2 linked regions of the Caenorhabditis elegans genome follow. The protein of the gene in region 1 interacts with the protein of each later gene in a biochemical or structural test. Each region holds a gene or a part of one and is shown on either strand. Other genes may lie near its edges.

Region 1 (3,998 bases):
AATCGACTTGATCGACAACTCCTAATCCGCGGAAGACATCGATTCCACCCTGAAATTACGGTGCTTGTTGCCATTTGAAGGAACTCGATTTTGGGAATTTTTGAACTTATACTTTCAAAATATCCTCAAATGAATGAATTTTTTAATAAACTTTCGCGAAAGTTTTTCAATATTTTTTTGTGGCGGTTCAAAATTTTCGCATAAAAATGGCCTAATTCGGACGGAAATTGAAATTTTGTAACCTATTGGTTGCCTATCCGCTTGAAATTTTAAACTTAAAAAAACGATGTAAATGTGCAAATTGAGTCAATAATAAAAAAAAAAAATTTTTGGGGATTTAAGGCTAATTTACAAACAAACACATCTAGGTCTTTTTTCGAAAATTTGAACCGTCGTAAACACAATTTGATCGGTACCCTTTTCCTTTAACATTGTGTAAAGCTAACCTGAAGCCCAAGAGCTGAGGTCTGGACCAGAAGAATGTCCAACGCGAAGATCGTCAATCCGATGAAGACGATTATGGAACGCATTTCCGAGTTGGGAAAGTTCGAGAATAAAAAAGAATAAAAAACGGGGGTATAGTGAGCACAACTCGATCGGCCAGAATTTATATGCTTTTTGCTCTGTTACATCTAAGGCGGAGCAAAACGGTTAAACGACCGGAACCGGTGAATGTTTTTTTTGGAAAACGTTGCTCTCGGTTTTGTGAACTCATAAAGTAACATGCGAAAAATTGCACAAAAACTACTGCTTTACACCCACAATGATTTGTTCTCTGGAAACGTGGGTTTCAAATTAGAATGATAAAAGTTCCTTATTCTAGTGATCAGTGATGATTACTCATGTCTTTGCTATCATTTCATACAGATACTTTATTTGATTCACAAGTAAAAATTAATGTTTGTAGAAATTCCAAAAATTATTTACTCCGAGAAATCATTGCGGTAAAGAGGATAATAGCTCTCTGCAAATGGCATTGATCGCTTTCCGCGGTTCCATCCAGCTGCAAATGCACGCTTCCCTGGGCGCATTCCAGCTCTGCCAATTGCCATTGATCGCTTTGCTGGCCGGAATCCTTGACGACTGATATAAAGACGCTTCTCCATAGTTAGTGGCTCCGGTTCTTCATCGGCATAGATCTCATCTTCGTCGTTTGGGATAACAATCATAGGGGTCGCCAAGTCGACAGCATCATCTTGGTCTAGGTCATTAGAATCTAAAAGTTGGGATTCGTAGGAATCATCTTTAGACGTTGGATGTTCCTGAAATGTTCATTTGCTACAATTACATAAAATGATAAAATAAGTAGCTCAGTTCATATGAGCTCACCGAGTAAAAACCCAGCTCCAAAGCATGAGCTGAGACTCCAAGAAGTGCCATCCAAATGACGAGGTGAGCTGCCATTGACTTTGAAAGTGATATCAGGTGGGACTGAGGACATCCTTCTGCTCGTCTTTCTTTTTATAGCACCTATTAAGAAAACGTGGTCTTGTAGTCCGGAAAACTGACACTACGATATTTTGGAGGATCGGATTTTTACGAGTTTTTTAACGATTTCGTAAAGGGACTACACTTCTACAATAGAATACAACGACTATAGGTGTATCTAGGAACTAAAAACAATTTTTTTTGAGAAGTTTAGAAATTTGCTCATCTGAGCACATTTTGGGTACATACATTCAAAATTCCAATACCTCCTCATCAGTGATAAAAAGGTCAAATGCGGAAAAGCCTGGAAGAACTGCGGAAAAATTGCCACAGATTTGGGTTTTATAGGCGGCTAATTATAATTTAATTTTGGAATTGGACAATCTGATTTCCCTTCAAAATATTTTTTTTCTTAACAATTTACTGACGACGAGCTGAAGATGATACTATCCCACGTCACTGATGTTTTTCCAACTAGAAAAAAAAACGTTTCCATAATGAGCTGAACATCGATCAAAACAACAGGGTACCCCTCTGAGAATTTTTTAATTCAGCTTACACAAAAAAAAATTGCGAACCGGCATACATTTAGTACAGTTTTGAATAACAGTAGGCAGTGAGTTTTTGCATTTTTTGAATTTTTGAAAATTTTTGAAAAAAAAAAGGTTTCAATATTGTCAGTGCGATTACATATAGAATTTATTCAATTGTATGGAGACAATTTTTTGGAAGGCTAAAAGAAAAAGAGCAAATTTTAATCGGACCCATACGTGCCTTCAAACTTGGCACACTGGTAGTGGACACATGGCTCAACAAATTGATTTCAACAAAATTTTTTGAACTGACCTACATGTTATATTAGTAAATCTGACTTTATATTGCATAAAATCCCCGATCAAAATAGTTTGTGATTCATATTCACCCTGTCTGAAACTTCTTTCCGAACCATTACTCTCTGAAACTGGGCTCTAAAAAACTCTAAAAAACAGAACACGATTTCATTCCGGTAATCTGGCTGTGTTTGTACATAAAGTATCAGTGATGATGACGGTGAATATTACAAAGAGATCGATTCAAATTAGTCGGAGCAGGTTCTCTAGATTATATAGATTTCTGGAACGTGTTGTGGGAAGACCTCCTTCATGTCATTGCTTCTCTTTCCTGGCCGGAATCCTTGACGACCGTAGGCCATTGAGCGCTTTCCTGGCCGGAATCCTTGCCGTCCATATGCCATGGATCTCTTTCCCGGCCGGAATCCTTGTCTGCCGTAGGCCATTGAACGCTTGCCCGGACGCAGTCCCAATCTTCCCATTGCCATTGATCGTTTCATGATGAGATCACTGGAAAATCAGCAGGTTTTGTTTTGCACAAGCCAAACGAGGCTTCAAAGTTACCTAACATCCACAGTGTGAAAGTTGTCCATGCTCCGTTTTCCAGGGCGGAATCCGCTTCGTCCGAGAGCAATGCTTCGTTTGCCCATTGCTCCTTCAGTGAACTCTTCCTCTTGTTTCCATTCATCTTCATCTTCAGAGTCGTACAGTTCGGGAGAGTTCTCAAGGACAACCACATCGACAGCCTGAAAAACTTTCAAAGTAGAAACCAGTACAGATGCTACTGGCAAAGATCCACTAACCGATGATTCGTCAGGACGATAGACCTGAAGCGGAACTGCTTCAGAATAAACTGCGCAGAGCAAAGCAAAAAGCACGAGGGTTGCTCGCATTTCTCGCGTTGTTGGGAGCTGAGCGAGAATAAGTGAAACCGAAGAAAGAGCTCGGGAGAGAGAGAGAGAGCTGAAAACAATGAAGATTACAGTAGATGCTTATCCAAATTTATACGGCTTTCATAATATATACGGGGCGGAGTTATAACAATATAAAGTACCAGTGGGAATATTGATAACGAGAATGCGGCAAGACGCGAATCAGGCGAAATGGGGGGAGAGAATGGGAAGAAAAACTGAGGTGTATCGAGCCGAGCGGGTGGGCGAGTTGCGTGATTGGTTCTGTATTCAAAATGACGTTGGTCAGAAATTGGAAGAGATGGGGAAAATGGTCACAATTTTTGAATAGTGCTCATAGTGCGGAACCGATTTGATTCAAGGTAACAGCTATGAAACTGCAGAGCAAACAGAAATTAGAAGCATAGTACAAATCTGTACAGTATTGGAAGTCTGCTATTCGAAATGTTGCCCAGAAAACTATATACGGTTTGTATACTTTATGTCTTAAATACGTATTAAGTTTTTATTAAGAAGCACTGACAAAATTGGTGTTTTGACAAATCGGAAGTAGTAGGTATCCAGTTATTAGTATAGTAGACAATAGTAGTGACAGCCAGTGATCTACTCATTATAAGATTAGTTCTCCTGGGATAGTCGTACAAGTTCGGCTTGGAAGACAGCCCGGTACGGAGTAGCATAACATGTTTTTCTCATTCGATCCACTACCTAGTTTTTGGTCGGCACTTTATTTTTCGGTTAATTTTTGGGACTTATTTCCAAATTGAAAGATTTTTTTCAGGCACGATTGGAATATTTTCAAGGAGAAGAGAGTGAAATGTTGAAACGT
Region 2 (6,717 bases), 7.7 Mb from region 1:
CTAAACATAGGTTAGGAAAAATAACATGACATTTCAGAAAAATAACAGCAAAGAATTTGACACTTTCTGTGTGTTTTTTCTGTGCGTGTCTTTGAAAATACAACTAAAAACTAATTGGGTTTTTTCTCATATTGTTTCATTGATGTAGAAGAATATTCCAATGGATGGAAGAATATTGGAAAAAATGAAGGTGATCAAAATCTATAAATCATAATGATTTTTAAAGCACATGTTCTATACGTTTTTTGTCACTTGTGTGGGTTTGTGAGAATAATTAATAGAAAACACTTTTCGACTATTTTCTGTCACACAATTTTAGAAACAATCACTGCTATGAATGTTGATAGTTTTATTGAAACTATAATTGTAGATACAATAATTGTTGGCATAAGGTGATAGAAACAACACGATTCATGAAGAAAAAAAATGAAGAGATCACGATGATTCAAGATCTGACAAGGGTTATGCGTGTATCATTTCCTAAACAACCCAGACAAAAATGAAATGATGAGAAAAAAAAAGAGCCAGGGAGAGATGAACGAAAAAGAATGGGAGTGCAGACAGAGAGCAGAGTGTACAATAAAAAGGCAAGGACAGGTGTTGGAAAGAAGAGTAACCTCTAGACAGGTATATTACTACTGCAACAACGAGCAATTAGATTATAGTGCTGTGGCAAGATTTATTGCAGTTATTTGTATGTAGTGTGGTGTCTGGATGGGAATTTGGGAAAACACAGGTCAAACAACAAAAGAAGGGGATTGCAAAAAAGAAACAAACCGGAACAGAAAATGATCAAAAAATTTCATTTGATCTGTAAGATTTTATAGTTTTCTCGGGAACAAATAAAATATTTATTTCCTTGAGATTCACCGTTTTTCCGAAAGTTTTTAGTTTGAAAGATGAATTTTATATGGCTTCAATATGCAAAGTGTACTACCATGCATTTGGGCCAGATTCCAAAAATTTTCACGAGAAGATATTTTACGAATAGGAATTGTTTTTTTTTTAACATCCATAACTTTCTCCCAAAAAATGCAACAACACTTTCAAAAGAGCACACTCAGTTTTATTACCATAAATTAATTTTTCTCAGAAGGGATTATTCTTGAAAACAGAGGAATGTGCTACATCACATAATGTACATCTTCGCATTGTTGGTTCGACAAAAGTTTTTCAACGATCAGAAGTTCCAGTTTGTTACATAAAAATATACACGAAATATTTCAAATTGATGGTCATTCCTCAGCATCTGCCAGCTTTTCCGTCAAGTGATCCGGTGCATCTAAACCTCATTACTTTTGGTGTTTTTGAGTCGATTTGCGACGCGCGTCTGTTCTCGAACCGTGGCGCGTGTACCTCGAGGCGACACTTGGGAGGAGTTTTGTTCTCGGTGTGCGCGATTTGCTGCGGCAACAATCCGCTGGGCCTCGGCTTCCCGGACCGTCGTCGATCGGCGGATAGACCGACTTCCTGCAAAGTGATGCTGATCAAGATGCGAAAAATGTAGTTCTAGGTGGTGGTGGAACAGGTCGTTGTTGCAAGAAAAAGAGAAATGTGATTAGAAGATAGACGGTGTGATAGTGTAATTAACAATGTCTAGTTCTAAAATCACACCACCTGCGGGGATTTACTGCAAACTTAATCTAAAAAAATTTTTTAGGAGAAGAAGGTCACTTTAATTGAAATGTGAACGTTCACAAATTAATAAGCTGTGTTTCTAGTCTCTTTTTGTATGACGCCATTTCGACAACTGACGCCATCTCATCATAAATTGGTTGATCAATTTGAGAATATCATGAACTCTATCTCAAATGATAAAAGACGTAAATACGTGCAGTTTGATAAATTTTGTTATAGAAAATAACCGGTTTCCAGAAGGGGAGTTGAAATTAACCACGTGATTAGATAAGGGCTTTTGAAGTGAGAGAGTGTCGGAGGTAAAGAGAAGAAAAACACTTGACCGTCATGCATACCTCCTTACCAGCAGTGTCCATAGTACTGCAGTAATACGAGTTTCTTTTTGGCTCAGTGCCAAAACGATATAGGAATGGATTGATGCACGTGCTAAATAAGAACAATTAGGGAAAACTATTAATGAATGTTTTTTCCTGAATACCTTGCTATAATAATTGCCTGTAACCAATTCAGTTTGCTCACAATTTCCTGGCAATTTTCAGAAACACAGACAATTCGAAGAAGAGCCAAAACCTTAAAATTCACGGTATCTATAACTGAAACGATACTTCAAGTTTGCCTACTTGATATGGAAGCCATGTGAACAGGAACGTACAAATAATTGCCACAGAAGCTCTGAGAAATCTTGCTTTCGTGTTGTTCGTTTTTTGTCCACTTTGTCCTCCGTCCTACAAATATGTTTATGTTTTTTAATTGTTACGTGTATCGAATTGGAAAAATAAATGAAGTTAATTGTATGAATTTATTTTTCCAATTTTTAATTTGATTATTTGTTGGTTTTTAGTGTAACTGTTTTTGCATAATTTCACAACAAAAAATCATCAGTGATACATATTTGTTTGCTTTAATCTGCTTACACCGAATAAAATAACTATTTTGTCATTAGAAAATACCAGGTGTGATGATTTCAAGCAGATAATTGTTTGTTAAATTTTTTTTCTTTTCTCAAGGATACAATTGATGTGTTATTCCAGTAACCAAATCAAAAATGTTATTAATAGTCATTCTATACCCAAAAATGAATTTCTGTTTTCAGATATATTTAGATCATACAGATCATAAGATCACTGGAAAAAAATAAGACTGTCTATAACAAGTTAGTCACTCATGAGTTACGTTTCCACATTTTTTAAAGCACTTAAGAGTTCAGCTTCCATTTTTAAAATTTATAAAATTTATAAGCCAGAAAATGTTAAAAAAGTTGAATTTTTTCACTGAAAGTTTTGGTGAAGTAAAAAAGTAGAACAATTTTGGCTTCTCAGAATTTCATCGAGAATGTATCCTTAGTTTTCAACATTTCCGTAACTTAGGCTCCTCCACTTGAAAAGTTAGATTTTCAAAATTGCATTATACCTGTAATAAACGACGTTCCGCCATTTGTTTCCGTATCGATACCCCGATAGCCAAATAGCATATGATAACAATCAACAATGGAATGTAAAACGAAGTTATGACATGAAACAGGTTGAATGCAATTAACACATCATCATTGAATACCTGAAACGTTATATGTTAACAGAATTCGTTTAGATATTACAGGAAATTGACATACATCAGTTCTTGGGTAGCATTGATACATATCTTCATCGTTGATCTGAATGGTTCCACGCAGAATGCTCATTGGTGATGCACATACAACTGCAAAGCCCCACGCAAGAGTAATAAGCCAATTAACTCGGTTTGCCCCTGTTCGATAGCTGCTCAGTGGAGATCTGAAAAAAAAAACTATATAAGTCAGTGATTCCGATATAGAGTACTTACGTAATACAGCAAAGCATGTCAATTGCAATAGCTGCTACCATGTTCGACCAAAGATGAAAAGGCAGAGCACAAAGAAAACTGAATACTCGACACATAATGTCTCCTAAAAAACAATAAAATTATTATTCAAATGATTATCTACACCTTGAGTCCAGACGATATTATATATCCAATAACTTCTCCAGATCCCGTACATAAAAAGAACCATTATGTGGGCAATAAGTAGCTGTCGACTAAGCTTGACCAGTCTGGACTCCACGCCTCCTTCTCGAACATTTCTGAATATACAAATAAAATTAGAAACATGAACAAAAAATAAACATCAAAACGATGACTGTAATTTTTAATCAGTTTTGTAATAGTTTGGCACGTGAATAAATTATATGCGCGGCTTAGGTTATGCAGGTACTTCAGTAAACTGTTTATCGTTCGAATTTTAAATCACGGATAGTCGAGTATGCAAAAAGGATCTGCAATTACTTAAAACCCCCCGGTTTCTTGGAAAATAGCCTTGCAGCTCTCTCTATTAATATTGCAGTGCTTAAGACTAATAAAAATTAGTCTTGCATGCAGAACTAACATAAGATTAGTTTAACTGACAAACCATTTGCAAAATGTGAAATTAGCTATTATTACTTTTATAGTGTTAGAAGAGTATTAGCTCTAGCAACACTTACCGACTTGTTTTGACAAAAGCAAAAATATTGATTGGAGTACCAATTATGAAAAATGCAAGCTGGTAAAACATTTCGATAACTTCTGAAGTCGAATGCATCATGACAAACGTATCCGATGTTGAGTTGTTCATTTTCTGAAAAGTTTCACAATTGGAATTGTAGTATAGTGTAAGTAATGAAAAAAAACTAGCAAAAAGAAGTGAGGTGTCTTTGCTGGTGACTGTCCGGAAATGAGAAATGAGTGAGATGTGGTAAAACGAAAACCGAGATAGGAGGGGCTTGATTATACAAACTACCACTTTCGGCATACAAAATTGCGTTTTTTTTTTTCATTTTTGCGAAGAAATATGTAGTATTCATCGAGCTGGTAAATAATACGATGCCATGACAGATGTTACTACTGCTAAATGATACGGTGGCTGGAGTGTTAAACGAAAAACATAGAAAAGTGTGAAAACAAGAGAATAACTCCAGAAACTATTTGAATCCAAAGGATTGTCAGAATCAACCGGCGTAGTTTTGCTTTACAAATATGTTAGCTTTAGGCAGACATAGCAATATTGGCGTGAAAACTGCAATTATCGTCGATGAAAAGTATTTTTCTTTATAAACAACAATATTTGGAGCTTTCCAGTCTGATGTAAACTTTTGAACCTGTGGTGAAATCACAACTGAGAAAAAATATAGTTTTTCAAAAAATTAGAAATGTTTGAAAGTTGCTTTGGAAAATACCAAAGGAAAAACATTTGAAAGATCTTGCTGAGACTCAGTCATGCAAATGTTTAAAAAAAACCAACAAAATGCAGTATTTAAATGTCCAGATGCAAAAATGCTTATTCAATTTGCCATCGCATTCATAATTTTACAGTATTGGTTATCTCAACAAGTACCGACAACGGTAATTTAAAAATATAATATTTATTATTATTATTACTTCTTAAATTTTCAATAAAACCGACATAAAATCTATTTGGAGAATTAGCAACTGCAGGAATCAAAGTAAAATGGTTAACAATAATCAAAGTTAAAAAAAAAAACTTGAAACAAATCCTATTGGACAGAATTTTTTCACAGCAAAAACCATTTGTGCATCTATTAATTGCTAGCACAGTATTCGGAAATGTGTAATGTTGTGATTACAAACATATTAATGATCGTTGAAAAAAACTTGATCATCGTTAAAAATTACATTACAAACAAAGTATCAAATTAAAAGTGGAACTACTAACGAACTGAATGAAATCTCTCTTATGAAAAAACAACGACCCGCAACATCGCATTGTAGGAAATTAGAAATATACATTTTCGTGATGTATTTGGTTCTAGAAACCATTTGAAAACTACATCATATTTATGAGTACGAGTAAGTGGAACGGAAAAAGAAACTAGAGAAACGTATAAGTTCTGAGAGCTCGTTTCTCCCGCTTTTAATCCTAATGGCAAAAACCGACAGTTTTTGAGAACATTCAAAAACCCATTTGGCAGTCTTGGTTTCCAATAAGTAATCCACCCAGAAAACTCATAAGATTTACGATTTTCTCAGAAATGTTCCGTGTTTCTCAAATTGGAAAGTATTTAAAACACTATAAAAAGATCGAAGTGAATAAAGTAGGGCTTCCATGTGAGAGCGGCGCGGCGGCGGCGCCTCACGCCGGCCTCACGCCGACCGGCCTTCGCAGTTATATTTTCATTCATTTGTCAAATTTTGTTCATTTCGATTGATATTTCATACTAAAATGCACGACAAAAAACACATGTACCAGAGATTGTTGAATACAGATATAGATGTAACCAAAGAAAATGTGTGTTCCATTTCAACCGAGAACCCTAACCCATTGTTCTCTTCCTTTTGATTTAATATTTTAAACCACTAGAGTTCAACTTTCTAACTTTTGACCTTTACCCCTTTCTTCACAATTTGATGTTCGGTCAACCATCCGAACCTTTTTCTTAATTCATTGAGCTTGGAGTTTAAAACTCAAACTTCGGAGATAAGCGAATCATCTAATCACAAATTCAAAATCAACCGTTTCCAACAATCCTATTCTCTTTCACTCCTGGTTTAAAGTTTGAAATCCGCTGTAATTTGTGTCCGAAGAGTGACACTTATCCTTCACAAACTCTCAGATATTACATTTTGAATGGCCAGTTGCGTATTGCAATGTATCATTTCGAGATACCGCTGACCAGGGCGGCTCGTGTTTGCCCTTGTCGTCGCACTTTCATTACTACCTTCGCTTCTTCTTACCCCTGCCGCTCAAACTGCGTGTTTCCACCATGAAACCTATACTTTTACCACTTCTATTTTTGTACCTCACAGTATCTCAGCCAATCTCGGTGGTTCGAGAGCCGAAAGCACGAATTGTGCCAGAATTAGATATTATCTACGTGGAATGGCAATCAGGATCGCAATCACAAAGTAAGAACAATTTTTTGCAATAAGTTAGGACATAAGACTTTAGAAACCTTTCTTCAATTGCTTCCCTAATGTGGAAAGTGGAGGCAGTTTTTTCAGAAGTTGAGTAAGTATGTACAATATCTTTAGATATGATAATTTAAGCGTTCCGAGTTAAGCTTGTCAATG

The links. The genes of interacting proteins can lie anywhere in the genome.
Region 2: the proteins of nlp-23 (region 1) and gnrr-3 interact in a test that uses a peptide from one of them, tested with the Caenorhabditis elegans proteins (one large-scale study listed by BioGRID).

Annotation. Positions count from the first base shown.
Region 1 is NC_003284.9:2,341,535-2,345,532, forward strand, and holds nlp-23 (Neuropeptide-Like Protein), read right to left. Parts: upstream 1,426-3,998; 5' UTR 1,405-1,425; coding exon 1,330-1,404; intron 1,263-1,329; coding exon 924-1,262; 3' UTR 857-923; downstream 1-856. Other genes in the region: T01B6.1 (uncharacterized protein), read left to right, coding at 3,951-3,998; nlp-22 (Neuropeptide-Like Protein), read right to left, coding at 1-49, 447-530; nlp-2 (Neuropeptide-Like Protein), read right to left, coding at 2,525-2,768, 2,823-3,004, 3,062-3,151.
Region 2 is NC_003284.9:10,047,007-10,053,723, reverse strand, and holds gnrr-3 (G-protein coupled receptors family 1 profile domain-containing protein), read right to left. Parts: upstream 4,265-6,717; coding exon 4,134-4,264; intron 3,735-4,133; coding exon 3,601-3,734; intron 3,560-3,600; coding exon 3,457-3,559; intron 3,408-3,456; coding exon 3,248-3,407; intron 3,193-3,247; coding exon 3,049-3,192; intron 2,364-3,048; coding exon 2,259-2,363; intron 2,209-2,258; coding exon 2,117-2,208; intron 2,065-2,116; coding exon 1,974-2,064; intron 1,471-1,973; coding exon 1,243-1,470; downstream 1-1,242. Other genes in the region: ZC374.2 (Fibronectin type-III domain-containing protein), read left to right, coding at 6,411-6,552.